Astyanax mexicanus: one gene and its partners. The protein of the gene in region 1 purifies or fractionates together with the protein of each later gene. This does not show direct contact. Links are inferred from orthologs where the notes say so. Each region holds a gene or a part of one and is shown on either strand. Other genes may lie near its edges. The genes, in order: hectd1, znf622 and copa.

Region 1 (10,109 bases):
TTTTCTCTGCCATCCCTTGCACCATTTAAGGTGGAATGTTAGTTAGGTGGAAAGTTAGTTAGCTAGCTAGTGACTGAGACAAACTACTAGCTTGTTATTTAGAAAATGGCCATAAAACACCGAAACTACACATTAATTTTTATAAATACAGTGGTTATACTCAGTTGTAACAAGGAAAAGACATTTGTGGATTTGTGGACTCTAGGGCTGAGTAATTTTACCTTAAATTCAGTACCGATACCCAAACGGTACTTTTTTCCCATACCTTTTTCAAAATTGCAACCAAAAAATACAAAAAGCGATAATTATTCTCATACAACAGATTTATTTGACAGCCGATATTAGTAATCTCATTCTCATACGGTCACAATGAGAGACTGCCATATTTTTGGATCTTGTTATAACAAACAATGAGCATGATTGTTGCACTTTATTAAGAACAAAAATATTACCTGCCTTAACTGCTTAAACTAAAAAATGTTTTATCCGAAGTGTATTGCTGGATGCATTATGGTCGTGGGCAGATTCGGAGGCTACATCCCACACAGATTTTCTTGATGTACCGCACAATTCAAATAAGAAAATACTGGCTAAAGCTCTGCTCACAGGAGCTGCCAGTGCTTAAGCTTGGTTCCTTAATATCTGATGATACATACTGATCATGGTGAGTTAAATATATACATTAAACATAACCTTTAAAACTTCCTTTCAAGAAAATTTCAACTGTGGTGCAATCATTGCGTAGTAGGGCCGAAGGGTGGAGTCTGATGATGACTTTTTGTGGCAGGTTAACTTATAAATTGGAAATATTTTACTGTCCTCTTAATCTAAGAATCTAAAAATATAAATAGCACTAACATTACTGCATTATAATTGCTACAATATAAAGTTTGTGTATTATTGCAAAAGTAACAAAAAATACATATGTAACTACATCTATGAAAGTGAAACAATTAAAAAGGTCAAGATTCCATCTGAAGACAGTAGGTGAAGCAAAAAAGTAGTATCCTGGTGTGATAATTAGGGATGGTAATATGGCATGATATTTAAGGGTATAATATTGTTCCCAATATTCAAAAATGTTGGAGATATTATTGCATACTGTACAATATGGCACAACCTACTTTCTATCATGCATGTTTTGGGTGCTTCTTCACATAAAATAAACCTCTTTGAAATTTGATAAGCTGATAATTTGCTATATCCACAGGAATTCAAAAGGTTCCAAAAATGATACTTTACTTCCTATGTATAGTCAAATCATTTAATGAGACATCTACTGTTACTTTGAAAAACAAGCCTCAGAGGTGTCAAAATAAAACTGAACATTTATAAGTTTAGCAGGAAGATAGTGGGAGCTCTTGTGATGAAAAAAGAAGAAGAATAAAATAAGTAGAAAAACACATTTCACCCCTGATCCATTCACAGCAGTTAAATGTGATGACACTAACTACACATGTGTAAGAAGTGTTTAGAGAATAAAGTCAACAACTGACTGGCCTTTCTGATCATCCCCCAACCCGATGACTCAAACAGATACTAGATACATGATTGTAGCCATCATGACTCGAGCGTCAACATGATACCAGCTTAACATCACATGAACTTCTCCCCAGAGATGTGTTGGCCAAACAAACTGGGCACAAAATGAAGCAAGCAAAGGTGTTGGACTATTTATATGTTCTTAAACCACCCAGAGCTTAACTCGTGAGAAGAGCTGTCATTCAACAAAATATGCAACGACCTAAAATTAGGTCACACTGTTTAGCTGGTGTGTGTGTGTGTGTGTGTATGTGTATAGGAGTAGTGTTTGGCTAAGGTTAACGTTACCTGATCACGCACAGTTAAACAGCTTGGCTCTGCCGAGCTCCTCGCTTATCTATGAGGTTAATTCAAATTAGAGAGTTAAAAGGAGAGTTATTTTGTTACTTTGGAGTAGAACATTTTATTGTTAATTTATTGTTATTAAAATTACTTACTAAATACACAAATCCACACAACCAAATAACAGCAACATTGCTCGCTAGTTAGTTAGTTAGGTTAGCTAACAGTCAGTAGTAGCTAATGATACTCGACGTGTAAAGTACCACGCGTATCTAACATAAGTTAACTATTTAGCGATTAAATTTACTTCAAATTAGAGCGTGAAAAACGAGTCACTTCTGTCATAATACAGTTTTTTTAATGTTAAGCTATTAGTAGGAAAATGGGAGTAGTTCAAATATTTCTTACTGGTAATAAACCTAGTTAGCTAACTAAATAGTCCCCACAACCAAATTACAGGGACATTACTCACTAGCTAGTTAGCTTAGCCAACGGTCAGCAGTTACTAATGATACTAGACGTGTAGCTTACCTCACTTTTTTAAGTAGTTAGCTTTAAATTAACTTAAAATTAGAACGTGAAAAAGCGAGTCATTTGGTAATATTAACTAACGGTAGGTTTTATTATTTTTAAGTTACTTCTAAGAAGGAAAAAATGTGAGTAAAATATTTCTTACTGGTAATAAACCACCACGTAAGTTACCATCGCAGCTAACCTTAAGATAACTAACGTTAACTAACCTAGCAAGGTACCTAGCTACATAGAAAGTAGCTTAGCTGTCTGTAATGATAGCTGCCAATTCACTAGCTAAGTAATAAAACTAAAACTAACTAACAAACGTTTGTCACTTGATACCGAACTGTAAACAAATTTTGCTAGTAATAATTAACTTTATGCCCTTCTGACGTTTAGTAAACTAACCTAATTAGCTAATGTAACGTTAAGTTTCCATAACTATAACGTACACAAACAATATTCAATCCGATAAATTAAATATCTGTTTTGCCTAATTAAATAATCCCCACAGCCAAATAACAGTGGCATTACTCGCTAGCTAACGTTAGTAAATTAGGTAATTCCTAACAGTCAGTAGTTACTAATGATACACGACGTGTACCTCGCTTATCTAACTAGTTAAGTAAAAAATGAGAGTAAAAATGAGAGTTTTACTGCTAACGTTACCACCAGCAGCTAACCTAAAGATAACTCACCTAGCTAACTTAAGCTAAAATAATAACGCAAGTAAAGTTAGTTAGCTTCCTTGTTATAATAATAGCTAACAAATTAAGACTAGAGAACCTGGGTAAGCTAACCTAGCTGCTAACTAACAAACGGTTGTCACTTGATACCGAACTGTAAACATCTTTAGCTAACAATAATTATGCCCTCCTAAAGTTTAGTGAGCTAACTAGCTGGCTAATTTAGTTAGTGGTTTCTATAACTACAACGTAAGTTACATAAACAAAATTCAACCCGATAGATATATATTTTATCTAATTAACGTTTAATAATCCCCACAGCCACATAACACAGTAGCTAAGCTAACATTACCAACAGTCAGACGCTACTAATGATCCTCGACGCCGGGCCTAAAGCTAGCTAGCATAGCTAACCAGACGCTTTGCGGCAACACTGGCCGTCGTTTCAAAATCTGTTTTCTAGATATTTAATTCTAGGAAAACTAATGTCAAGCGTTCAACTAAAAATACAATAAACTCCGTTTGGTTTAATTACTTCATACGAGGTTGCTAAGCTAGCTCGCTCGCGTTATCTATCTAGTAGGATTATCGCTAGCTAGCTTAGCTAACGCTAACTACCCAGTTTATTAAAAAACAAACCCACACAACGGAGAATCCAGCCCGACAAATCCTGATATAAACGCACACAGTTAGTGAGCAGGGTCTAATCTACATTATTCGATAAACATGACACCCGCACTTTATCCGTATAAACGCTGAAGCCGAACAGACTCGGCCTTGTGTTGACTAAGAGATCCCGCAGTATGAAGTTAGTGGGAAGCCGGAGGCCTCAGCGCTTCTGTCAGCGAGAACTCAGGAAACCTGCGGCCTCAGAGCCGCGAGAATAAAACACTCACCGCCTGCCTCTCCCCCCAAACGCCGAGAAGAAGACGAAAAATCCAAGTTCTCAATTCAAATCCACGAGTTTTCACCCAAACTAAGACGATAAGTAAGGATTCTTCATCCCCTCTCTGTTATAAACACGCGTAGAGGTCACAGTGAGCGGCGGAGGCGCTTCTGAGCGAAATGGAGAGCCGCCGGGGGAAACTAGCGCTGTCCGGCTCCCCAACGGATAAGTCGTCTGAACCGGTTCTTTTTAATAAATCGGTTGAACCGATTCACACGTGCTAATGAATCAAACTGGTTTTAAACATATGGTTTTTTTTTTAGTACAAATCGACTTTTAATCCTTTTGGTTAGCCTGCATGGAAAGTATGAAAACTACAATTAAATACGAATAATATATAATACTATAATAATAAAAATAGTCTTATTTTCTGATATTTTTTATTCCATATATTCTGCTATAACATTAGACATTCATTTAGACCAATTTATAAATCACTATGAATAATTTCATTTAATAAATTAATTGGTTCAATATTTATAGTAAGATTTTACATCTCAAAAAAACAACTAGCTTTTTACAGCTCTGGAAAAAAAGAGAAACCACTTCAGTTTCCGAATCAGATTTTGCTTTTTATAAGTAAATGTTTGTGTTTGTTTTATTCTATAAACTACGGACATTTCTCCCATAATTCAAAATTAAAATATTTTCATTTACAGAATTTATCCTGAGAAATGGCTGAAATAACAAAAAAGATGCAGAGCTTTCAGATCTTAAATAATGCAAAGAAAACAAGGTTATATTTATAAAGTTTTAAGAGCTCAGAAATCAATATTTGGTGGAATAACCCTGGTTTTTAATCACATTTTTTGTCCATCTTGGCATCATGTTCTCCTCCACCAGTCTTGCACACTGCTTTTGGATAACTTTATACCACTCCTAATGAAAAAAATCAAGCAGTTAGCTTGGTTGTGATCATCCATTTTCCTCTTGATTATATTATAGTGGATAAGTCAACACTAAAAATATTATTTAAAAAATATATATCATTCGGATTGTTATTATACCTATTTATCATGTACAGAGAGCAGAGTAATAAAAAAACGTAAACATTCTAACTAAATGATAATAAAGTACATTATTATTAATTCATGTCAATTTAGGGGGAAGTGTTCACAGTGCCAGTTCTAAAAGAAAGAACCATATTCAGTGCCATGATCTTAAACAAGCTGTTTATGCTTGAAAACCCTCCAATGTGTCTGAATTTTTGACCATATATTGTCCTAGACATAGTAGTGATAAACAATAAAGTGTAATAATACAATTATACCCCTTCTTTCCATGCCACAATTCACAGTATGTGTATGGAGGCTCCAATATCAATGCACTGGTCACTGTGCTACTAGCTAAAATATTGGTGGATTGCTGTGTATATAAAACAAACATGCAAGGAAACACAATGGACGTTAATTTATTCTTCCAAACATGTAATCAGAAAATAACTGTTAATTTTGTACCACATTTCTGTTTCTTTTACAGGATACAAAATGTGTGATATGGTTACAAATACAGTATTAATTGATATGTTCACTGCAGCAAAAGTACCAACAATTAAAAGAAAGAGCCGAAAGCTAAAAGAAAAAAAAATATGGGTTAGTTACAATTTACTGGATTGATAAGTAATGTTTGATTTTCGTACTCTAAATCTAAATGATTTTACGAGCAGAGTGCAGAATTGTTTGCTGTGCAATTTTCCTGCTCTAGTAAACCTCCAATCCTTTAAGACTGGAGATTTCCACCAGCTCAATTTCATCTCAACGGCCTTAACAATATATCCTCAGAAACAAATTTTTATAAAGTTTAAAACAACCTTAAATCACTTTTATATTATTGTATCCTTTTATTCTGGATTACATTCTAAAATTAAAAAAATAGCAGCGCAATTTGGTAAAATTGTGAAAAGTTATCTGGTTTTCATGCATCACTTAAGTATTGAAGGAATAACATCACACCATGTCTGACTGCATGGAAGCTGCAAGCTGCTGCAGAGTATCAGTGCTGTAATTAATACAAAAGTAGCTGGAATTGGAGCAATGCAATGCAGAAATGCAGGCACCAGGCTGTAGTATTTCCATGCATTTGATACAGGGAGCAATCTGTGCTGAAAACTGTTAAACAAGTGCATTTTAACCGTAATGCTGTAAATAATATGCCGTAGTGTAAAGCCAGAGAAAGCAAATAAGCTCCCAGTGGAGTAGCTTGTACTGTAGTAACTTGACCTAAACTTAAGTGGAAATTTGAGGAAATTTTATAATGTGCCACAAACCTGAGACACTGAGTGTGTTCACATGCACTTAATAATCTGATTACTGGAGTATATTGGAGGTCGACGGTAATCCAGTCAATGTTTTACATGAAAACAGATAATGTGTAATATGTATGTTTGATTTTGGCTTTACTGCCAGCCAATTAACTATCAGAATAAGATGTGAATTAAACATCACATACAACTCAAACTATACAATATGCAATATGAACATACAGCCAATAGAAGACGACTATTTAAATCCTTCAGTTTCAGCATTGCTCCGATAGTCATCTTGCGAGTGCTGTATTAAACACTGCTCACTTATTTCTGGTACTACAGTCTGTTTGCAGTTTGTCATGCAGGCACAAAAATACTATATATAAATCTATATATATAAATCTGAAAATACTCTGGTTAAGAGTTTAAATGGACTGAGAATATGATTACTGAGCTAAAATCCTTCTCTTTTTATCAGATTTCTTAATCTAGATTCAAGACCTTACCTTAACCTAAAAAAAACAGAGTATGCTGCTTATCAGGGGTGTGCCATATCGTATTGTACGCAATAATATTGTACACATTTGTGAATATAGTGAACGATATTATACCCTGAAATATTGTGCTATATCACCCACCCCTAATTATCATCAGGGTACTACTTTTTTTGCTGTTTTTAGCAAAAGAAAAATTCAAACTGTTCTCATTTCCCCATTATTTATCTACTAGAGAAAGATTATATCTGTCCAGTGCCATTTATTTTACTTTAATCCTGGATATATGGAGATATTTGGAGTTTATTATTATTAGTATCATTACTGATCATTCTGGATCAATGACTTCTGTTACAAATCTGATAAAATTCTTGTATTGTTTTAATATCTCAGTTAGGGGTGTGCCTTTAGCATCTTGTATGCAATAATAAAATACATTTTTTATTTTGTTGCAGTTGTGTACTCTTGACATATTTTTCTTTTTCAATTCGGTCTTTTGTCATATCGCCAAAAGTATTGTCATCATGAAAATACCATGGAATATCATGATATTATTTTAGGGCCATATCGCCCACTCTTATTGCTTACATGACTACTTGAATAATCAGATAACTGCAGAAATACAATGAAGGGATTTTTAAATGCATGTAAAACACCCACTGGCTTTCTTAGTCCTGGTCCTGCACTTTACTTTAATTATGTGCCCTCTGCTATAGCACACTGATTCATTCCCAGCAGCTCCTGAGGTAATACAATGGTGTTCACTACAATTTAAAATGCTAGTCCTCCAAAAGCAATATTAGAAAATACTGAGTTAAAGCAAGCACAGTCTTCTCACAACCAGCTGCTTTTTTTCGTCTCACTGAGAGAATTGCATTTAACAGTTTTAACAGTTACTGAGGTATTCAGATATTAGAACTTAAATTATGATAAATTAAGAAAGCCATGAATTTTATTTGTAGGTGAAAAAAATAAAAATGCAAAGTAAATCTAAGATATTAAAACATGCTGCATTCCTAAAACGATGTGATTTAAGATTCCTCTTAAACAGTCTGTATTAAAACTAAACTACCTTTATGCTGATTAAGTTCCTCACAGAGGTTAATAATACAATTTTAAAACAAACACTAACATAAGAATACTGTAACAACAACAACCCACATTCTTGGATTATTCTTGGATTATTAAAATAATTTTGCTGGCCCTAAAAACATTTCAGATTCACAGGAAGTTGGTCTTAAGTTGGATGCTGGGGGCAGTCTTGCCAGGGACGTGAGGAGGCGTAGCTTTGGCTCTCACACTCTCTTGGTTGCCCTTGATGGCTGCCTCTAGTCGAGCTTTCATGTGGGGAGCAGAAGCCATGAGCGATTTGAAGACGCTGGAATGCTGAGGACCGAGTCGCATCAGGTCTCTAAGAGCAGACTCGTGCAGAGAGCGGGAGGCCACAGACGCTGAGCCCAGAGTGTTCTCGTCCAGCAGGTAGGAGACCAGGAGGGGTAACAGTACAGCCACCAACTGGGGACCTAAAGCAAAAGACAGCGCCAATATTTAGTGCCATATAACATATAATCCGATTAGGGGTGTAATGGTACATGCATTTATACACAGCAGTCTGATATTGTGGTTCAGTAGATGTAGTTAATGGGTCTAATCCCATTTCTCTTTTGTACCCTTACTCCTTATTTTGAGTGCAACCTTTTCCCCCTTGAAACAGAGCTCCAACACTGCAATGTGATTGGCTGAGAGGCGTCCTAAAAGCGCCGCTATCAGCCGGTAATGCACTCACTGTAACCGAAGCTCTCCGTGTATTACTCCGCCACATACAGGTAACATAAACAAACAGAGCAGCAATGGAACTATTTTAACTCGCGGAGTGTTTACAAAAAAACAAAATCATATTTTCTCGTCCCCTTTAACTCAAAATGTTTTCGATAAACAGTGATAATGAAACTGTGGTATAATCGCAATAACACACTCAAGGTTTGTGCTATATCATGTAATCGGCCTGTGGATTCGTGCCTACACTGCAGCACAGCAGTGCCAGTATTACACTTGAATTATTGCTTAATTGTTCATTTTATAATTCCTCTGTAATAGGGAGCCAAAATTAGCTTTTTAATTTTTTTTCTAGATGTGCTATATTGCATATCCATAGAATCAATTCAACTAAAGAACTAAAGTAAAGAACACTGTGTGAATAAAATACTGACGGTTAGTTTCCTCTGCTGCAAGCACTAACGCCTCCATTGTTTGGACTCCATCCTGCACTGCCTGGAGCTCCGCAGAGGACTGAGGCCGACTCTTCTCCACTTGCTGCAGATGAGCCACCAGCTGTGTGCCCAATCCCTGAATAAACGGCCCAGCTACGGCAGTTTGTCCCTGAAACACTGACGCCAACAACTGGAAACTCCTGCTCCGCACCTATGAAGAAACAAATTACTTCATTATCTGTGGATAAAGGAAACACTACCAAAAATAACTTTTTTAAATCATTGATTGAAGACTAGCACATGCTTCCTCTGATACATGTGAAGTCAGACTCCGCCTCTGTTTGAACTCTTGCTGATGCAGTATTTCTGAGTTGCATCACCCCGCTAATGCTCGGAGGAAAGCGCAGAGACTCGGTTCTGATACACTAGCTCACAGATGCACCCTTGTGCTGATCCACATCACCCTTTGGAGTGATGTGAGGATAGAGCGCCATCTACTGCACCCACCCAGAGAAAGCAAGGCCAATGGTGCTCTCTCAGGGCTCCAGCAGCTGATGGCAAGCTACATTAACAGGTTTCGAACCAGCGATCTTTACACAGCTAATAATGTTTTATTATCTAAAATATGATAAAATGTCACTTCTTAAAAGTTTAACAGTTATTTTAAAACTATAACTATATCAAAAATATTACTAAACCACAAATGTTAACACTAGAATAATGCAAGTGTCCACTTTCTCGTTCTGTAGCTATGCCCTGCTTACCACAGGGTCCTTAGACTCCAGGCTGGCTTGAAATTTGCTGATGCAAAGTGACTGCAGTGGCTCAACAGTGGTGACCTCAGCACTGGCAAACAGCAGGAAGATAGTGAGTGCTGTTAACAAGGTGACCTCATCCACAACAAGCTCCGTCTTATCTAGAAAAGACAAACGAAAACAGATCTAACGATCAGATCTAACATTTTGCAAGAGAAAACTGTATTTTGTAAGTTTTTATTTAGTGAATAACACTGTTATTCATTTTTTGTATAGATATTGTACATGTAATATAAATTTGCATGTGCATTTACAGTACAGAATTCCTTTACTCATGCCTATATATATATGTGATAAAAATAGAAGAAGAATGGTGTTAAGTGTTTGAGTGTGTGTGTGTGTGTGTGTTACCCGTATCCCAGCACTCCAGCAGCGT
Region 2 (10,988 bases), on another chromosome or scaffold:
CACCTTCAAAAGACTCTGATACAGGAAGAGTCACGTCTGGCTGACCCACATGGAAACAACAGCTTCAGCCTTTAGCTCAGATTAACATGATTGAACTGAGACTCAGTTTCAGCAGTGAAGAAAATAATTAGTTAGTCTGAGAGGTAAAGTGTTACGCAGTAATATAGTCATTATTAAGATAAAGATAAAAAATAAAAAAGCAGCTTGTCAGGATCATTCAGCACTGTTACTACACTACTAAACCAGAGTGATGTTCTAAAACTTTTGACCGGGAACGTAATCCAGGGTAAATACTAGTGCTGGGCGATATGGGAAAAATCATATATCACAATATGGAATTTTTTATATCAAGCTAATAACATCATGTAAATAATATCATGATATACCACATTTATTTATGTTTTTAGTTATTCTTCGAAATATATGACCAAAAAAAAAAAAAAAAAAAAAAATATATATATATATATATATATATATATATATATATATATATAATTGCTTACTTTTTTCCAAATTTATTTCAAAGTGACATTAAACCAAACTTTCACAAATGAGAATTACGACCTTTTAGTGCAGCAGCATATATGTATCAAGTGAAAACAGATGAGGTAGATGCAGTAGCAATGTTTTTTTTAATTATACAAGTATTTAAATTGAGTTATCATAATAAACTAATAAATAACATTTTTTAAAGTATCCGTCAAATAACGTACAGCAGTATCATGTCACAAAACCACATTATGAAGCTTTTTTTGCAAAGATTACTTTATTATCACTTATATAAACATAGTTTATGCGAAGTGACCACGCCAATACATTTCATCGTAGCCTACTTTATATATTTGCATGAATAATTAATGAAATTACTGTAGAAACGATAGGGATAACCCCACAATATTTATCGTCATATCGCACAGCACTAGTAAATCCATAGATAATTAATGTTGAATCTATTGATCTATGTATATTGCTGTTGATCTATATATCTATGGTTGCTGCATTTATGTGGTACTAAAAATGGAAAAGTCATTTTTTTTTTTTAATGGCTCTTCCATAAAGGTTATGTGTGTACAGGTGTTGCTGCACAGTAGAAAAGTGCACCATCCATCCAAATTCTGCTAAATCCCTCTATTTATATGCATATTACACACGTTCCACATTTGCCTGCATCTAATTGGTTTAGTACGTCTGCAACTCACCCAGATATGCGATGAGTCCTCTCAGATCTACCAGGTATTCTATGTCAGGGATGAAGAAGCTGTGTGTGCTGGTCATGTGAGCCATGTTCTTGCTCAGAGATCGTGAGTGGTGAGAGCAGAACAGACAGTCCGTTACTGAAATGGTCCCTGGAGCGGCTGCTGTTGTAGCTTTTCCGTCCTCCTCCATCTGCTCCTCTTCATCGGCCTCCATGTCCTCATCATCGCCGTCATCTTCAAATGCATCAGCATCCTCGCCGTCAACATCCTCCCACTCTTCTGAAACAGATGATGGATATGAGTACCTGCTCTACTATTGGCTTCGAGTAGAAGAGAAACTTAACAGAATCTTATTTTAATGCAATATTTGGCAACAGGACAACTTCTAAGTGAAACTGTAGTGAACTGTAGTAAAAAAAAGAAACAAGTGTAAAGGCAAAATAATTTACACCAAACAATGACTAACTTATTTGAGATCACATTGCAGTGTTTTTGCTAGCAGCTCAATACTGATTCGGGCTTTACGATAAATTATATATTAAACATTTGCGGTATTAAATTAAATGATATTTCTCTAATTGAATCGGCCACAGTGCTGTTTAGTGGCTGTGCAGTGTCTGGCATGCATTTAGCATATCTTGTGGAGGAAAGAGAAATAGTTTTAACCCAACTAACTGGATAACCCTCTCAAGAGTACATCCCTCAGCCAGTACAGTAAGTAGTTATTAGCACAGCAACACAGCAGAGCTAAGGAACACTACAATCCACAATCCACCAAAAGTGCAGTTAAGTTAGGTTTGGACAAAGAAACAAAACAGAGGGACAGAAGAGTAGAGAAGGTATCAACATTTAGCACCCACCTTCCTCCTCCTCTCCTTCCTCTCCCTCTTCCTCTGCAATCTTCTTGGCCTGTTTCTCAAACCACTGCAGCCGAGGCGCTTTGGCAGGCCGTTGTCTGTCCCGCCCCTCTGAGGGCGTGGCTTTGGAGGGGGTGTGTCTCTGCTGCTCCCTCAGCACTTGCTGCAAAGCTTCGTTCTGTGCATCCTTGTCGAGCTCCGCCCCTTTCTCCAGGTTCTTCTCGTTCATTCGCTGCACCTTCTCCTGGGCGGCTGCCAGGGCCTTCCTCTCGGCCTGCAGGTGTTTGTTGGACTGCAGGTGGTTGGTGTAGGCGTTGGTGGTGGAGAACTTCTTGTTGCAGGTGCTGCAGGTGGAGAAGCTGGTCAGGTTCTGCTGCTGCTGCTCGGCCGCCGCCCGCTGAGCCAGCACTCGCTCCTGGAAGTTCTCGGCCGTGACCGGGGGCATGTCGGCCACTTTGCGCTTCAGGTTGTAGCGGTGCCAGTCGGTCTTGTAGTGCGCCCGCTGCACCTCGCCATCCACAAACTGCACACGGCAGCTGATACAGGTGTAGGCAGACATTCCTGCTGAATTTAACCAAAGAAACAAGCTTAGGATTAATAGGAAATATTACACAAAAAAACACAAAAATGTAACTGGAGGACTCTAGCAAACCCCTATTGTTGCTGTCCAATAAAAAAAAAAAGTATCTCTATTTTTGACTATTTCTAGTTTTCTACAAAATTCGAACACAAAAATGGTCCCTAACACTGTGGCAAAATCTCTTGATAAATTGACAAATAGAAGTTCTCAAAAATGACCTGAAATAAAGTATTTTTACATTGACTTACATTGTTAAAAGTAAGGAAGGTTATTATTCAAATGAGGATGTTCCATTAGAATCACTATAAAGTTACCTTAACCAAACCCTCACACCCCCATGTTACATATTTTTTTTTATTTTAAAATATAACTGACAGAATTACTGTATACATTATACATTATATATATATATATATATATATATATATATATATATATATATATATATATATATATATATATATGCAAACATTTCACTATTTTGTTTGTTTTTGTTTTGTTTACTAGAGATGCACAGTTAATGAGAAGAAAATGAGAAGAATTAGAAAAAATTGAAGAATTAAGAAAAAAGAAATGTGAAAAGACCAAACTATTTATTCTAAATTATATATGTCTGCTGGGATAAAAAAAAATGGTAAATTAGTTAAAACATTTGATATTCAGTATTTTATCTTTGGCCAAATGTTACATTTTGTACAGATACTTTTTTTCTAACAAAAAAAATATATATATATTTTCCTTAATTCCATAATATATATATATATATAAATATATATAAAATATATATTTTCCATAATTTCCATCATGAATGTTAGGCTAGAATTAGTCTGTTATTATAACATCAAATAAACCTTTAGAGTATATTGTAAATTTTTATATTACATTCGTAAAAATTATTTATTCACAAAGGTTTCAGACGCAAAACTAAACTTCCCTACCGATTTAATTGAGTTAAATTAATTTCTCAAATTGTTAAGTAGCATCAATACAAAAAAAATAGAAAAATATTTTGCTATTATGATCTATTTTATAATGATTTAACGTAATGTTATATCGATTAGCCTTCCGCAATTAATGTAACGTTATAAATATTGTTATTAATATTTGTGTTAACCTTTCTTTTATGTTGTTCTATGTTGTCTAGATAATGCTGTGTATTTTCCTGTTTTATGAGTAACGTTATGTTGTATCCATGAGTAACGTTACTTAAGTCTGTACCAAATAATATAGATATTACGGAAGGTTTATTTGTCTGGCGTTATTTGTACGATTTTTAGATATTTGCTTGTTAAATACATTAAAAAAGCTAAGTTAGGTTAGCCATTAGTTAGTTAGCTTAGCTGGCTAAATAATAAACAGAGGAGGTAACGTTAAATTTAGATAACACAACATTGTCTACATAAAACTACATTACAGTGTAACTTATATAATAAGTTGATATAAGATCTTATGTAGGGTCAGAGCGTCTCCTCACCTGTTTATAAACGCTGTTCAGCTCCTCCACTGTGTGTAAATATCCTCAGCTCCAGCCTCTGTAAACCTCCAGCAGCTCACACGAGGCTGACACAGCGCTCAACCCGGACAGAAACAGCCCGAGTCCGGCCAGGTTCAGCCCACAGCGCCGCCAGCTGCCTGGCGGACCCCGGGTCTCCTGATCTCAGAGTTGCCAGGTTCGCAATTTTTTACGCCAAACTGGGCTTGTTTTTAAGTCCAGTCGCAGGTAATAAAAATTTAGTCATTATAACGGCCGTCAAAAAACTAAACAAAAAATTTGCCTTTTTATTATATAATATAAATAAATAAATAAATAAATATTATCTTTTTTAATGATACTGTATAACCTCTTATATTGTTGTTTGTGCTTCTGTGTTGTTTTTCTGTAACTGCTTCTGGCTGCTAAATTTTCTTTAGGATCAATAAAGTATCTATCTAAACATCCGGAAGATGGATTACAACATTAAGAATCAGGAGAACATTATTTTCTAATTATGTTACTATTAAATGTTCTTGACTGGGATATAAAATGGTTATAAAATAACTAATAAAACACTAATGTTACAATATTATTAATGACTACGATAAATAAATGCCTTATAAACAAAATACTAAGTCGTACACTTATAGTTGTTTTGATATTTGCTTCAAAACGTGTGACAGACGGCGGGTTTTAGACTAACTTTGGGCTGGACATTTTTGTTGGACCTGGCAACCCTGCCTGACCTGCCTGATCCAGACCCACACATGAAGAAAAAACATATGAAATTATTAAACAAACCAGAATATGTTTTATATGTTACATTCTTCAAAGTAGCCCATATCTGGTGGATGTTCTCAGTCAGTTTTATGAGATAGTGGCAAGAACTACTCAGCTAAGTAATGAAAAAATACTTTGAAGAAATGAAAGTCAGTCAATCTAAAACTTTTCAAGTATCTTTTGAAAGGATCCTTCACTGCAAAGACAATCAAAAACATTACAATGATGAAATTGGCTCTCATCAGGATCGTCCCAGGAAAGCATAATAACAATATCCTGACTGATCTGTGTAGAAATTAAGACAAATACCATCTTACACAAATGTGTTAAACGCATACAGCCAACACGGTTAGCAAGAGTACAGCCAACAAAAGTGGTTAAAATATTTTAGTATTAGTGATCTGTGTACGTCTTCAGGCTTAAAAAGGCATTTTAATCAGTATTATAATGGAATGACTGCAGATTCTGTCCAATATTAGATTTTATATAATTTTAGGCCAGAGCATAGACTGTGTATAGCTGGACAGAGCATCGTCTCTTAAAAGTGAAGCCACCACAGGTCGGGCGCCCCCTGCTGTTCGGCTGCAGAAAGCTGTGTAACCCCACCCATCCCCATAGGTTTCAATGGCAAAACAGACAACTTTCAATCACGTTTTTTTCTAATATATTGTAATTATATCTTCCTTTATTTAAATGTATCAGCTAGTGTAACCTCTGCTTATATTGTTAAATTTTTATATCCCCACAGAATTCGGTTTTTAAAACTTTATTCGGCTCTATTCATGGTAAAAGGGCTGCTTATGGGCGGTACCAATAACAGACCGTCAGCTCCGCTCCGCCCCGCTCTGCAGTCTGTGACCGCGAGGCAGCCCTCAGGGGCGGGGTTATTTAAATGAGGAGGCGTCTCTCCACAGCCTTTCTCCCTCCTCTGGTCTCTACTGCGCAGACTCTGGTCTCTGAATCGCCAAAATGGTGGAAGATTTTGGCTTCATTTTCATTGAATGAATGGGAACGGCGACACGGCATCCATCTTTATATACAGTCTATGGGCCAGAGAATGGAAGCATGCAATTCCTGAGATCCTTAAAAAAAATAGAAAGCAAGAGTTCTTGGTAAAAGGGGTTACGTTATTTTATTAGTCTTAAATTTGTATCTACAACGAAGGGACACAAGCAAAAATAAGTGACGACTCCATGAAAAACAGAAACAAAAAAACATAAAAAAACTAAACCAAAACATTTATTATTGATGCAGTTTTCCCATTTTTTAATAAACGACATCTTTCAGTCTAAAGAAAACAATTTACAATATAAAGAAACATACAAAGGACTTCTGTTAAACTACACGAGACACGGAGAAGTCCCTAAAGACGAGGATCCGAACTAGCCTAACATGAAATACAAAGCAAAAACCGAGGAGGCCACTGCTTCATACTCAATACTGCTGCTGCTGCTTTTCTTGTTGTTTTGTTTCTCATAAAGAACGACAAAAGAAATGGCGCAGGAGGAAAACCACCGTCCCCATCATTATTGTGTGTGACCTCATCTACCCTGCTGGCAAACAATAGAACCATCATGATCATCATGATCATGATCATCATCATAAAGATCATCATGATGATCATCACGAAGCACGACGGTGGGAACGATGGCCGGTGAGTTTTACACGGAGAACAAGAGCAAGGACAACGGCGACCTTAGAAAAAACACTTCTTCCAAACTTCTGCCAAACGCCTCCTCCCTAGTTCAGTTCTACTTTTTTACAAGTACGCTTTTTCTTAATTTTATTCTTTTTTTTTTACATTTTTACTTTAAATACATTAAAAAAAAAAAGAGAAATCCTTCATAGCAAAGTCTGTTTGTGGTCCCTTAATGTTTTGGTGAAACGCTGTTCGCTGCTTTTATTGGTTTCGTTGGTTTTGTTTCAACATGATTTCCATGGAGGCGAAAAAAAAAAAATTGGAAGAAAAAGAAAAAGCATAAAAAAAAAAAAACAGTCCAGGAATATTTTGCCTTTTAATGAAAATGTTGACTGTATCAGTCTGGACATGGTTTCCCTAAAGATAAAAAAAAAAAAATAGAAAAGCATCCAGGAAAAAAAAAATAATAATAAAAAATGAAAAAGAGAAGTTAAAGTTTTCCCAGTTTTTCAAAACTAAATAGCAATTATTTGTCAAAAATGAAATCTAACATTAGCTAAAAAAAAAGGGGGATAGTGAATAATCTCAGGTAAAAAAAAATAAACGAGAATATTCACTTCAGACAGAAAAACCCTTAAAAAAAAAGGAAGATATGAGATTTTAGATCAAAAATTTAAAAAATGAAACGGGAATAGTATGAAGCTCTTTTCTGGGGAAAAAAGGTAGCATGAATATTTTTGCAGAAAAAAAAAGAAAAAAAAAGAAAAATTGCACCATTTTCTTCTGTCCCTACTGATACTGGTTCTAAAAATGAATGACAGAAAAAAAAACATAATGAACACATAAAATAAAACAAAAAAAATCACCTCCATGGAAAGAATGTGACCCTTAAACAGACAGATGCAGATCCTGAGCTCTCGGTGAAGGCTGAACGTCAGTCCGTCGGGAGTGAGGACTGAGGAGGGACTGCTGCCTCTTAAAACCTGGTACCTTTAGTTTAGTTTTCCTTTTTTTCCCTTGTGTTTTGTGTGTGTATTTAATAAAGGAGTCACTCAGTATAAAAATGGGCTCGTCTTACGTTCCCTCCTTCTCCCTCCTGTTGGTTGTGTGTTGGTGTTACAGCGAGAATAGGAAAGTGGGGACCGTCAGGGACAGGAGATAGGAGATAGGAGACAGGAAGGGGATCAGATCAGAGGACTACACGGTCTGTTCAGCTATAAAGATGATTTTTTTCATTACATCCTTTTCAGTTTTTTTTTTTTTTTGTTCTTCATGTTTTCAGCGCTGTGTTGATTGGTTGTGACAGAAATATCAAAACATGTCAATGATATCAAAATGCATTGTACAGTATTTACAACAACAGCCAAACATGACAGACATAAAAGAGACACGCTATGTTTGGGGGTTTAGTGTGTTGAGGGTGTTGGAGTGTGTGTGTGGGGGGGCAACCAGTTGAGTTACAGTTAAGTCAGATTTTTTCGTATATGTATACTGCATGTGGGAGTGTGTGTGTGTGTCTGGGAACAGGTTAGAGGGATGCTGTTTTTAAGCAGGGGCATGTGGATCCCTCATTAACTCGTACTGGCCATTCCGCACACCTCTGCTGGGTGGCTTATAGGGTATAGCGAGAGCACTTTTTGAATCTGAGAACACATTTTGCTTAAATTTTAAAATTTAGGAAAGATAAACAGAAGGAACATAAACGTAGGAACCTTCAGACAGAGAACAGTCCAGTTTTGAGAAGGTGGTGGTGTTGCGTTCTACGTCCAAACAGTAGAAGCCTGGCTTGGGTGGACGTTACAGCTTAGCAGATCTAGGTAGTCTTGATTTCGGCTTAAAAAAATTCCCGAGCCGCGCTCCGAAAGGAAAAAAAAAATCACAGGATTCAGATGAGTCTGGCTAACACAACATAGCACAAGGTAGGCCGAGGAGTATTTACAAGCAGCGTCCGTCCGATTTCCACTCCTGTGGTCCTGCATCAGAACGTCTTGAGCGCCCAGAACCTCCAAGAGCATCAGCGCAACCCATTCTCGAGCACAGGGAGGGGTTCAAACAAAATGTGTTCCAGGAGCCGAAGCCGGGATGAGGCCTCTGTTTAACAGGAAAGAACCAAAAGTCTGTTTCTTCCCAGAGACGCCTCGATTTCGTGAACATGCTGGAGGAAAGGGGGCCAGAAACATGGCAGTCAGAGTATACAGAGGGTATCAAATCAGTAGGAGGTATCTTAGACTGGAATATTTACATGTGTACAATATGTCCTGAAGCGTTGCGTGTTGCAAGACATACAAACAACAACAATTCAATAAAAAAAAAAGAACAGAAAACACTAAAAAAAAAACAGGTAAAATAATAAATAAAAATATGACTGAATCGATTCGAGTTATAATCAGAGTTATAACAACTATATATATAGTACCACAATAATATGCCTTTCCCGGGTTTCGACAATGAGGGGCACAAGCATTTTCCTCTTTCATATTTCTTAAAAATATAAAATAAAATAAACCAACAAACAATAAAAGGACAACTAAAACAACAGACTCTCTAGAGTCTAGGAGTGAAATTACATCTCTGTACGAACTCTCTAACCCCATGGTGTTCTCTCAAACAGGACAGAAACAAAATTCCCAAAAATCAAGATTCCCCCTCTTAAAAAAAAAAATAAAACAAATTGACTAAAAACATAAAAAAAACTAACACAGAGACCTTAAAATAAAAACAAAGACAAAAAAAGAAAAACAAAAAAGAAAAGAAACAGCTTTCACATCCCATTGTCTCAAAAAACAAAACAAAAAACAAAAAACAAAAAAAAGTGTGCTTACTGTGTCGTCATTTTCTTGTATGTGGTGTGGTTACTGAGAATACATATAATGTGCCCTTCTGAGGAAAGAAAAAACAAATACCCTAAAATCAATCACCATCATTACAATATTGTTACAAAATAACGACAAAAAACACAATAATTATTAATAATACAGTACATACACGAAAAACAAAACAAAACAAAAAAAACATGAAAAACGTCCGTAGCCCATCACATCTTCATGAGTTTCACGCATTTGAAAATGTACACGATGTACACGATAAAACGAGAGGACGAGGCGAAGGATCGCAAAATCCCGACGTGGAGAAACAAACAAATAAACAAATAAAACTACTGCATTTATAAAGAAACGACAGAAAATCATCGAAACAAGACACGATGAGGGGTGAGTTTAAAAAGGAGTGGAGCAGCCCTAGACCAGCGCTGCAGCCTCACACTCTCCATCAGTCCGTCCTTGCATCTGTGAATGTGTGTGTGTCTGTGTGTGTGTGATTGTGTGCGTTTGTGTGTATCTGTGTAGAAATACATATCTATGTATATGTATATATACACGCAGTCCTGTAGCCCCCCTTTCAGTGTCCTGAGCCAGAGAGAAAGCCCGGCAGGCAGGGCGAGTCAGTCAGCGTTCTCTTCCTGTGGCATGGGGGGGGCTGCTGCTGCTTCCTGGTGCCGGCGGCAGCGGCGAGTTTGCACGCCCCGGGGTGGGCCACCTTGGCCTGCGTCCCAGGAGACTGCGCAGTGCGTTGGGAGAGGAGGGGGGGGGTCCCGGCCCAAAGTCCCGTGGGCAGGGGTGTGTGGAGAGGGAGGAGAGGGTCAAAAGGAACGAGGGTCGGAAGGATACAAAAGAAATCCGAATGAAAAAAAGCAACCAAAAAAAAAATTTAAACAAAAAGAAAAATCCAATAAAAAAAGGAGAAATCACACACTCATCGTCATGTTGGGTGAAAACTGGAAAGAGAAGAAAGGGAGGGGGGAAGAGAAGTGAGATGAGATCATGAAGAGATGGTAATGCCATTACTGTTACTGAAATACGACAACAAAACAAACAAATGAGCTCGGTTTTGTGTGGACGAGGCAGCTGAAATGGGATATCTGGTTATAAATATGCTGGAAATAAGATCTGGTCATTCTACAGAAACTTTTTTTTCATAATGGACAAAGTAATTATTTTGTACCTTTTTTGCATTTCTTTAAATACTGTGGGTACCACGGAAAGGAAACAGCGGTGAGATTTTTTTAATAGAAAATGCAATTCAGCTAAATGACTGTAAGTGACCATCAAACCACACATTGTTAGCTTTTAGAATTTCTTGTATATCTGCTCAAATATCTTAAATAATCTAGTTGTATTCAACATTTCCCAAAGAAAAAAAGCTTAATGAGCTAAATGAGAAAAAAATCAGATGAGCTATATGAGATATATGAGATATATAAAGAAATTAAGTGCCATCTGTGTTTTATTTTATTTTTAAAAAACAATTTTTGTTTTCCTTTTTTTGTTTGCTATGCATTAACACCAGTCATCACTCCATCACTAAGGTAGAAGTATAGATACTAGGGTTTAAAATACTTCTGTATAAGTTGAAGTATCATTTCAAGCTTTTTGTGTGAAAGTGAAAGAGTAAAACTACTGGTTTT
Region 3 (10,500 bases), on another chromosome or scaffold:
TCCATTCCACTTAAACCCATTAGAGCCCAGTTGTTGCCAAGTTTAAAATTAAATCAGAAATTCAGTGAGCAACGTATTCATGTTTGTTTGTTATTGTGGGCACATAACTGTAAACATTTATGATTAAAATTGTAATTAAGCAGTAATACACAAGAGGGAGTGCTATAACCTGTAGTATTGGCGCTGCTGTGCTGCGGTTGTAGGCACGAGGCCACAGGCCAAGTACTGTAGATCAGCACACGTGGACTTTATGGGATAAAGTAATAGACAGATTAGGACCTTAGATCTTTTATTTAAACATTTTGTTGTCTTGTGTTGTAGTTATGGTGGGGTAATTTATTTTCTTTTCTGTTACTGAACTATACTTTAATACATCCTTTCTCATGCTGATCTATGTAATGTGTATGTTTTGTGTCTCCTTAGCCACCTGGTTTGAACTTTGACCCGGAGTCACTGCACCTGCCCGGAGGTCTGGGTGCGGCCGGGGCTGATCAGTGTTCAGTGATGTGAGGCTGCAGTGTTTGTATGTGTGTGTGTGTTTGCACCCATCAAACCCTAAACCTGCCTCCCCCTCCTCTGCTCACTCTTCGTTCCCTGTAGTCACGCTGGAGCAGCCCAGTAACATTCTTTCTGCGGGTGAGGGTGGGGTTTACTCTGGTGGTTCAACTTGCTCATAGTAACTAATTTTGCACTTTTTCACCTGATGACAAGTCGAGCAGCTAGAACCGCGTGCCTGTTCCGTTAAAGATAGAGATGAGAACACCGTGGGAGGTGAGCGAATGGGATTTTAAAGTGTGACTCCAAGGAGGGACACTGGATCAATAATTATAGCAACTGCGAAATTAATAAGCTGTAATTTAAATGGTTAATAATTTTTATACATTATATTTTCAGCATGTTTATTTTTTTTAAACATGCTGAATCATTGTTCCGTTTCTTTTTCATAATTAATCAGTGACCAAAACTGATTTTCTTAATATTTCAGCCTTTAAAATTAAGTGGTTTTCACTTTTCTCCCTGAGTGAGCCTGATTAGCATGGTTTAGGTAGCCTTGTGTATTTTCCTTTTGTCTGATTACAGTGAATTGTATGCTGGATGATGTTTTGATCATCTAAAAGTGGATAGAAGTGATGCGTCTGATCTGTTTTGCCTTCTGAAATTCTTTACAAGTGGACATATTAGGCATTTTTGCAATATTAAAGGTATAATCCAGTGGTTTTAAAAGTGAAATCTGTACAGTAGCATTAGCAGTAGCATACGGTCAATTACTACAGACAATCATTTCAACATGAGCCTGGATAAGAACAGAAAACCATTTATCTAAAACTCACTTATAATAGGGTTCAGTGAGCAGATGCTTTAAAGATGTTCATCCTAATCTGCTTTATTTGTAGCAAATGATTGATTATCTCAGACTAATATAATTTTAACAATGTTGCTTTGAATCTGACTTATTATAGAAGCAAGTGGGACCATGCTAAAATTGTGTTCCATTGCTGTCCATTATAAGTATTTTTGATTAAATATTATTATTATTATTATTATTTGACTTTAATACCTAAATTTGTGTCTGGTAATTAATCATTTCCTAAACATGCAGCAAAAAAGAATAAAGCACCCCCTTACATAGCCATTGACTTCTACTGTAAGCATTGTTTGACTAAATGGCTTTTCTTTAACGATAGAAAACCCATATTGTCTATTGTAATTACCTGTATACTAAAATGCTGCAAATACTGTAGGGATGAATTAATACACACACCCTGCTTCCATTACAAACCTGTTAATACCAGTTCATTGTAAAAGTGTAATTTTACAGATGATTATGCTCTGATTCAGCTCTGAGTTGTGTTTAATGATATTTATCTACCATTGTACCTCAGATAATGGGGGAATGTTCAAATTAAAATTCTTAAAGATTGTGCTTTTATTTTGAAAGCTGAGTTTAAGGTATGTAGATATGGTTGTTAGCATAGATTTCAATGAGAGAAGAGCACATAACCTCAACACTCAGGAGTTCATTGAACACCTACGCACTTAAATCAGCTCAACCTTTCCTCACAGTACACAGTTATACCTGTCCACTACACTGTGAACAGAATACGCAACTACAGTGAAGAAATAAAAAACATTAATCAAATTTTCTTTGGTTCTCTGTGTTTTTGTATCAGTTGAAAAGATCCTCTGTTCAGTTGTAAATGTGATGTAATCTGGTGAGCCGTGTGCAACAGATAATTTCTTTTATAACTAAATAAGGGACATGTTCAGTGAAAAATCAAATGAACATTGTTGATCTCTGACCCCAGAATGTCATTCAGTCAAGACATGTATCTGATGTGTGATTATTTAGTTTACAGTAAGAGCTGCTAGAATAACACTGCTGAGATGTCTGAGATGAAAATAAGATCACACCCGAGTTGACTGGGTTAGAAGTCAAACATTCAGGGGTCCTTATTAGAATACTCTGCATTTAATAACTTGGTTCTGATGGAACACAGCATAAATTTTTTATCAATTTCATTAATACAATTTTTTTATTTGAAAAAACCTTGAAAACTGTGACTTTTTGTTACTATTACATTTATACAACATTACCATTTTTATAATGTCCCACTATTAGTGAAATTCCACTTTCAGACTGGAGTAATAAATCACAATGTGCTGAGCTGTTACTCCACCATTCATCTCTATGGAGAAGTTTATTATAAAAATTACATACTATACACTAAAATATAAAATTATGAGATGCACTGTGTGAAATTAACAGTTTAATTTACAAAACAATCAGTTACTAATGTTGGGGAGGAGGAGGTGCTTATTAGCACAAAAAGCTAATCGAGCATAACAATTCTTGTTTTTAATATGTGCAAGAGAGTAAAACTTGTTCATTTTTCTGTAGTAAACAGGTTTTATGCAGTAAAGGCTAAAGCATTACTGCTACTGTGAGCTGACTGGTTGCTGATGCTGGAATTACATGCAGAGGTTTGAAAGGTTAATACTTGGAGTTTAAATTCTTTACTCATTTAATCTGCAATGCCTAAACATATGATATTGTTCTGTGTTGACATAATGAGTAAATTTTTCAGTATAAAACTATTTTTAGCGCCTGCTGGTGCTCTAACAAACCCAGAATATCATCTAACTGTAGATGATAAATATAAATTTTTTTAAAATATGCCTTTATTCTCTAACATATTCTTAATTTACTTTTTTTTTTTTTTTTACACGTTTGTATCAGTCTGTACTGTCCGTTTGTGTTCATTAAGCTTTTTTGTATCGTCCCTCACAGGGGGTAGTGTGAAAACTGGGGAAAATAATAAAGTTACAAAAAAAAATCTAACAGATAAAGGGCAGTGCAATGGTGAATCTTATAATATCCAAGAGGCACAGGTATCAGCAGACAATGACAATACTGAATAAACATTTGCATATGACAAATCTGTGTATCATTTGTTCTTTTGATATTTAGTTGAAATAGTTAAATGGCACTAGGTTTATTTCTCAGGGCATTATCTCCTATTCTCATTTTGTTTCAAAAACTGGCAGACTTAAAAAAACAATATATCAGACTGCTAAAATCCTGAATGACCTTGTAAATATAGTATGCACCACAGCCCTAGTTCTAGACTGACTTGCTTGGGGGGGCAATAGAACATAACGGGTGGACATGTTAATATTTTTTAAGCTAATGATACTGGCTAAAATTGATGTGTGAGGGGGGAAAAAATAGAAATGTTTCATGTGTCTTCAAACTTACACTAAAGCATACTATTTTTTTAAAAAAATATCCTTTGCTTATGTAAATTAATAAAGATTATCTAATTGTGATTAATTTCAATACCCCACCTTGGTTAAATTAGAATTATACTGATACAACAACTCTTTTATGTGAAAAAGTATCTAGACATAGGATGTGAATATAATACTCAAAAGTGGAAATAGGAATAAGTAAGAATACAAATATGATTATTAAATTAAAATATAAAAAAGTTAATAGTTTAACAAACAAACTATATACAAACAGCCTGTATTCTCAAAAAGACTCTTTTCTCAAAAAGCTTATTTGTAGGCCTAAAGACCTTTAACACAAGGTCCTGTATTCAACTGCCAAGTTAAAATGCGTGTATGCCCTTTTTACTGATAAAGAAAACTAAGTAATTTAATGAAGTGTAAATCTAGTGTAGGCTAAAAACTGAGTAACCTGGGTAACCTCCTTGAAATCAACTTTTGCAACTTGGGATGTCTGGCACCGTGATGTGGTACATGGGGGAAAACTATGCCGAATCAGTGGTTATCTATACAGACGCGTCTAAAATGGATGAAAAGGTTGGTGTAGCCTATGCCATCCCAAGGGTTCAGGCTGTAATGGCGAAAAGAGTGAATGATAACCTGGCAGTGTATACAGGTGAGCTGATTGCAATATGGTTGGCACTACGGTGGGTTGAGGTCAACAAGCCACAGAAGGTGGTGGTTGCATCTGACTCCAGCTCAGCGCTTATGAGCATAAGGAATGGCCAGTCTGATTCGAGGCCAGACCTTATATATGATATAGTGCAGAGAGCAAATAATCTGGCCAAGGCTGGAATCGTTACAGTTTTTCTATGGGTACCGGCGCACATAGGGGTCAGTGGCAACGAGTTGGCTGACAAGCTAGCAAAGGAGGCCTTAAAGAAGGACAGCGTTGAGCTTGAAATGCAATACAGTAAGGCTGAGATCAAAAGTGTAGCCAAGGCCAGGACCTGTGGTAAATGGCAACGCATATGGAATGATGGAGAGACAGGGAGGCAGTACCATGCCATTCAGAATGAAGTGGGGAGGCCTAGAAACACAAACAGAGAGAAGAAGGTTCTCCAGAATGAGGTTTGGTCACAAAGCTCAGAAGTACACTTTATAAGATGAAGAAGGATGTTGATGGGACCTGTGAGTGCAGCGACAGCCAGGAGACTGTAGAACATGTTTTGATTCATTGTCCAAAATACCAGACAGACAGGCAACTACTTATCAGCCAACTACAGAAAGAAAAGGCGTCTTTTAACTTTCAGAGTTTAATGCAGTTGAGCACAGGTCATGTGAGTTTTCCTATAAAAAAAACACATGATTAATTAACAAGAATTAATGGATAAGTCATTTTATCCTTTTATTTTCATTTTTATTTTTATTTTTATTTTGTGTGTGTGTGTGTGTGTTTTGAGGGTTGTCAGCTATTCCTGATCCACACTCCAGTCCAGAGGTGGCGGTAATGCACCAAATACGCTGGTTTGCCAACCGGAATAAAACCACAACAAGAAGAAGAAGAAGAAGGAGGGTTCTTCCGTGTAGTCCCCTCGGTAGGGGACATGTGCTGGATTTGGGACTCGCCCACACTGAGTGTGACGTGGAGGTTCCGCTGCAGCGCTGGAGCTGAGTGTGAGTGAGCGGGTTTGTGTAGACGTGTCAGCTCCGGAAGCGCAGCACCTCCAGCAGCCCGCTGCTGTTGGATCAGACCGGCTACGACACCGGAGCTTTAGCGGCGATTCCATTATTTTACTGGAGTGAACCGACCCTCAGCGAGGCTGCAGAGTCCGTCCGACATGCTGACCAAGTTCGAGACCAAGTCCGCCCGAGTGAAGGGTGAGTTCAGTCAGGACCCGCAGCGGGTAGCTGGCCTAGCATCACACAGGCTAACTGAGAATACCCCGAGCTAAACAGCTAAAGAAAACACCCGTAAACACATGTATCGGGGTAATCACAGGCTTATTAAAGTGCTTTTTTCTGTTTAAATGTTTAAATAGTGTGAAATATCAGGAGTTTAAACTGCATTCACAAACACTGAGGCCTGTGAATCAGGAGGTAGCTGATTAGCATAGCTTTAGCTTAGCACAGGTTAGCTTCACAGTGAGACTCTGTAGCTTATAGTGTTTTTAGAGTTAAAAGGGTTAATAGTTTAAGACAGCTGGTGTAATATTATTTTAAATAGCATACAGTTATAATTTTTAACTAACGTAGGTACGTTTTTTATATTTATGTAAAACGACATTTACTTAAAAAGCATTTATGTTAATTAACTTTAACTTTATTAATTAACTTAATTAACTTCCCCTGCCTAGTTCTAGCATCCTTAAACCTGTAGTTACATAACTAATGTTAAGTATGAGACTTGTCACGGTACAATTAAACAGCTTTAATATATTACCGTTTAATTTATCTATATAATTAAAGTGAAATGGATGTCAGATTTTATACACTTAATAGTGAAGTATGGAACTTTTCAGTTGTCAAATTTGTCAGTTTTTCTTCAGTTTTTGAGCTCTCGAATTTAACTCGAATGACAAATTTAGCATCAAATTCCTGAGTGTGTTTTTCTTCTGTAACATTCAAAATACAGATGCACAACTTGCACCGATTAGACTTTTAATATTAGGTGAGAATTCAGACCGATATTCAATATTATACATATACACAGCAACAGTCAAATCTTTGGGCACACCTCTTCTCATTCAAAGTGTTTTCTTTCTTATTATTTTGTAAATTGTAAATGCAATATTGAAAAGATTAAAGCTGTGCAGGAACATGTGAAATTAAATGTTTTACAAACCAGCCACATTTAGCTTTAAGGACAGATCTGCACACTCTTGGTATTTTAGTCTCAGTGTCTTCATGAAGTAGAGTCACTTTAAATAGTTTTTTAAAGCGTACTGAAGTAGTTCCTATAGGTGCTGAACAATAGTTCAGCTCACTTAGGTTTAGGTCAGGGGATTGTGGAGGACAAACACTTTATTTGTTTGCTATGTACACATAATTTCATATGTGTCCCTTAATTGTTTTAATGTTAATATTAATCTAAAATGTATAAAAGAAATGTTATAAATATATATAAATGAAGAAAAACACTAAATGAGAAGGTGTGTCCAAACTTTTGACTGGTATTGTATATCTGTTGATCCCGAAATATACATTTATAACAGAGAGACTAAACAACCTAGTATAATTTTAGCAACAAATGTAGTATTAATTTTCCTTACATTTCATCTTTTAGCTGTGAATAAAATGAAAGGTGTCTCCATCATTGGTTTCACATTATTTACGTTAACTGGTCCTTACATAGACTGATAACAGCTTTGAATCCTCATTTTGAAATTAATAGATTAAAAAAGGCATAGACCTATTGAAAGTAATAAAAAGAAATACAATTGTAAAATAAATAAAATTGTAAAGTAGCATGGTCAATGTCTACATCAGCAAGTATCAGTTTAAAATATTTACCCGATTCTGATGTCATTGTGCATGCCTAATTTATACAGATATTTTGCTTGAAATTAAAACTGTTGTTGGATCAGAGTGCAACAGAGGCTTTGGGTTGATGGCATTTCCTCTGTACATCACTCCTGTATGTGTTGGTCAGCACAGGAGTCTGTTAGCTGATATATCAGAGCTGTGGTTCCGGCACTTTTGCCCGGAATATTTCAAAAGTACAGTAGCAAAGTACACATATGTAACTACCATTAACCACTGATAAAAAAGACTGTAACATCTAAGGCATAACTGTATTTGCTTCAAATCAAAAACTGGATCTTTCGTTTAAAATAGGTTCACACCCATTGTCTGTTTCAGGGCTGAGTTTCCATCCAAAGCGGCCCTGGATCCTCGCCAGTTTGCACAATGGGGTCATTCAGCTTTGGGACTACCGCATGTGCACCCTCATTGACAAGTTTGACGAACACGATGGTAAGACCAAACTGCCAGTTGTTACTCTCTGAATGTACTGTATCTGTGCCTGCAGTGTGACACCTGTGTGTTTGTGCTGTGCAGGGCCAGTCAGAGGGATTGACTTCCACAAACAGCAGCCTCTGTTTGTTTCCGGCGGGGACGACTACAAAATTAAGGTCTGGAATTTCTGCTTTATGGGTTGCAGTACCGTTTCAGAGTTAATGTCCACTTTATTAGAAACCCCTTTCTTTCACCATCACAAGGTGCTGTCTGGTATTATTTCAGGGTCACTGCAGTGTTAAAATTGTTAAAATGAATGAATGATCAGAGAAGGTCTAACACAGATAAACACAAATCAACTGATGATTTATAGTCTGTAATGAAACAACACCCAGGTGAAACCACAGGCTCTATGTGGTGAACACAGTGTAGTTAAATACATTATACAGTTTGATGCACTCTAGATCAATATCTACATGCAATTGATCTCTCTCTCTCTCTCTCCCTTTCTCTCCTTCTATGTGTGTGTGTCTGTGTGTCTGTCTCAGGTGTGGAATTATAAACTTCGCCGCTGTCTTTTCACCCTGCTGGGTCATCTGGACTACATCCGCACTACCTTCTTCCACCATGTGAGTTGTTCTCTATACTCTGTTTTATATAACAATCATAATCACATTACAGGTTTAATATGTTTTTTGAGCTCCATTCTGAACCTCTGTATTTGTGTTTCTCTGTTTCAGGAGTACCCATGGATCCTGAGTGCCTCAGATGATCAGACCATCCGCATCTGGAACTGGCAATCCAGGACTTGTGTGTGGTGAGTGTGATAGTCTGTCTGAGTGTTTATGCACGGTTTTAACTCCACAATGCAACACATTTTTAAGTACCACATTTTTAAGCCATGCATGCTTTTTTAACAGTGTATAATCTCTCTCTCTTTTTCTTTTAGTGTTCTGACTGGCCATAATCATTATGTGATGTGCGCTCAGTTCCACCCGTCGGAGGACCTAGTGGTGTCGGCCAGTTTGGACCAGACCGTGCGCGTGTGGGATATTTCCGGTAAGGGCTGTGGGACGGGCCAGAGTGTGTTTGGGGAGAGTGGGGGTGGGTTTGGGGTGGACAGAGAGGAGAGAGGTAGTGTTCATCTCCTCCTCTCCTGTGTGTGTACAGGCAAGAATCTCTGTGGGCTTACATAAACTCTTCTCACAGCTACTGCACACCCAAACCTGAACCTGAATACTGAATCACTGCTGTACAGAAAGCAGGAATCACTCTTTTCATTAAACTAAATAAATGTAAAATTATTTTGATATGCTTGTATTGGACATATGCATAGATTCCAAATTATGAACTGCCCCATTTAATCAGTTTAGCCCGATTTGTTTAACCTACAGCAGTTTAGCACTGTCCTTTATAATAAAAGTGCAGATATGGCCTCTTTGAATCTACATAGAGAGTTTATTACTCTGTATAACAATGTTATAGGGAGTGAGGTGATTACAAAGTTGTGCGCAGTGATGAGTGGGTGAAGGTTTGAGTTCAGTTTAGTCCGTGAGAATTGTTTGTCTCTCTGCATGATTTAACAGAGATCTAAGTCATTAATTAATGTCTTTCTTTGCTTCTCTTTTTTCTTGCTGAATATTAATCTACTACTATAACCCAATAACATTCCATACGCACTCACACACTTGAATTTAAAGCATGTGTCTTAAACTTCAGGAACTCCTGACCCTCTGTACTGCCTTCTCTACTCTCAGTGACACACTGAGACGACGTTTCTGACAAACTGTCTTTAAAGCAGTGTTACTGTAGCATGGACTGTAAGACAGGGCCATTATAACAATGCATGAGTTGGGAGAGAAAAAGAGCACTACATTTTTAAAACTGGAAGTGCACTCTTGACTGGTATGCTAATGTGCATGTGTTACTCTTTTAAAGTACGCAAACATGCACAGTAAACATACTTTTTTTGCATTACATAAAAAAGAAGCTTTAGATGCTATGTGCCTAATGTTTAACATGTTGCAAGTTTTTAACCAGATTGTGGTGGTTAAAGCGGTTAAATTACATTTTTCTTTACATATTAACATAATGCATGTTTTGTGTATAATATTAGGGATTGTATGCATTAGCAATTTATTTAGTGACAAATAAAATTTTAAGCCTAAAGTGCAATGTAGTTTATTTTTAAGTGTTACTACTTTGAAGTGTGGACCTTAAAGCAGTGATTAAAACAAAAAATGGAGGCTCTACACTGCCCTCTAGGGAAGTTAGAACGAAAAGTCTAGCCAATCACTTCTCACAAAAGATGCATCAATAGCAAGACTTATAATAAATTATAATTATATATATAAAAAAATCTAATATAATTATATAATAAATTAAATTGTAATTTTAAAATTTTAGGTAGCTTATTTAAGTTAGAAGGGTTAGCAAGATTTAGCTGTTTGAGTTAGAGGTTTTGGCTGGTGTTTAAGATAATAGAAATATAGCAGCAGGTAAATTATAGAAAAATTAAAACTATATTTTAAATAATCTTACTTGTTGTTTTCACAATTGCTGATGTCTGATATGAACTCCAGACTTGTTAGAAGGCAATCTATATCTGTTGTCTGTTTTGATTAATGAATAATTACCAAGAAATTGAATTAAGTACTACACTAAACAATTACTATAAACACAGTGGTACTGAATGCATGACTCACCCCAAGCATAACTCCATATAAACTCATGCATGTCTTAATCCTCTCTCTTTGGTCACCCAGCGCCCCACCAGAGCACATTCTGCCCCTTCACCCATCAGTCCGCCACCCA

The links.
Region 2: the proteins of hectd1 (region 1) and znf622 purify together in Homo sapiens (affinity purification with mass spectrometry; 4 studies listed by BioGRID, with this or other methods). This does not show direct contact. The link is inferred for Astyanax mexicanus from reciprocal best matches to the Homo sapiens genes HECTD1 and ZNF622.
Region 3: the proteins of hectd1 (region 1) and copa purify together in Homo sapiens (affinity purification with mass spectrometry, with the first as the bait; 3 studies listed by BioGRID). This does not show direct contact. The link is inferred for Astyanax mexicanus from reciprocal best matches to the Homo sapiens genes HECTD1 and COPA.

Annotation. Positions count from the first base shown.
Region 1 is NC_064421.1:45,406,127-45,416,235, reverse strand, and holds the start of hectd1 (E3 ubiquitin-protein ligase HECTD1), read right to left. Parts: upstream 4,141-10,109; 5' UTR 3,920-4,140; intron 1,880-3,919; 5' UTR 1,831-1,879; intron 1-1,830. Other genes in the region: heatr5a (HEAT repeat-containing protein 5A), read right to left, coding at 7,930-8,231, 8,919-9,129, 9,683-9,834, 10,085-10,109. UniProt on the Homo sapiens protein: E3 ubiquitin-protein ligase which accepts ubiquitin from an E2 ubiquitin-conjugating enzyme in the form of a thioester and then directly transfers the ubiquitin to targeted substrates.
Region 2 is NC_064415.1:54,477,651-54,488,638, forward strand, and holds the start of znf622 (zinc finger protein 622), read right to left. Parts: upstream 4,223-10,988; 5' UTR 4,108-4,222; intron 2,618-4,107; exon of another isoform or gene 2,615-2,617; 5' UTR 2,613-2,614; coding exon 2,057-2,612; intron 1,476-2,056; coding exon 1,200-1,475; intron 1-1,199. Other genes in the region: zgc:110158 (single-stranded DNA-binding protein 3), read right to left, coding at 9,923-10,081. UniProt on the Homo sapiens protein: Pre-60S-associated cytoplasmic factor involved in the cytoplasmic maturation of the 60S subunit.
Region 3 is NC_064415.1:44,435,915-44,446,414, forward strand, and holds the start of copa (coatomer subunit alpha), read left to right. Parts: upstream 1-5,392; 5' UTR 5,393-5,570; coding exon 5,571-5,610; intron 5,611-7,590; coding exon 7,591-7,704; intron 7,705-7,788; coding exon 7,789-7,862; intron 7,863-8,234; coding exon 8,235-8,315; intron 8,316-8,426; coding exon 8,427-8,503; intron 8,504-8,635; coding exon 8,636-8,745; intron 8,746-10,500. Other genes in the region: pex19 (peroxisomal biogenesis factor 19), read left to right, coding at 424-510. UniProt on the Homo sapiens protein: The coatomer is a cytosolic protein complex that binds to dilysine motifs and reversibly associates with Golgi non-clathrin-coated vesicles, which further mediate biosynthetic protein transport from the ER, via the Golgi up to the trans Golgi network.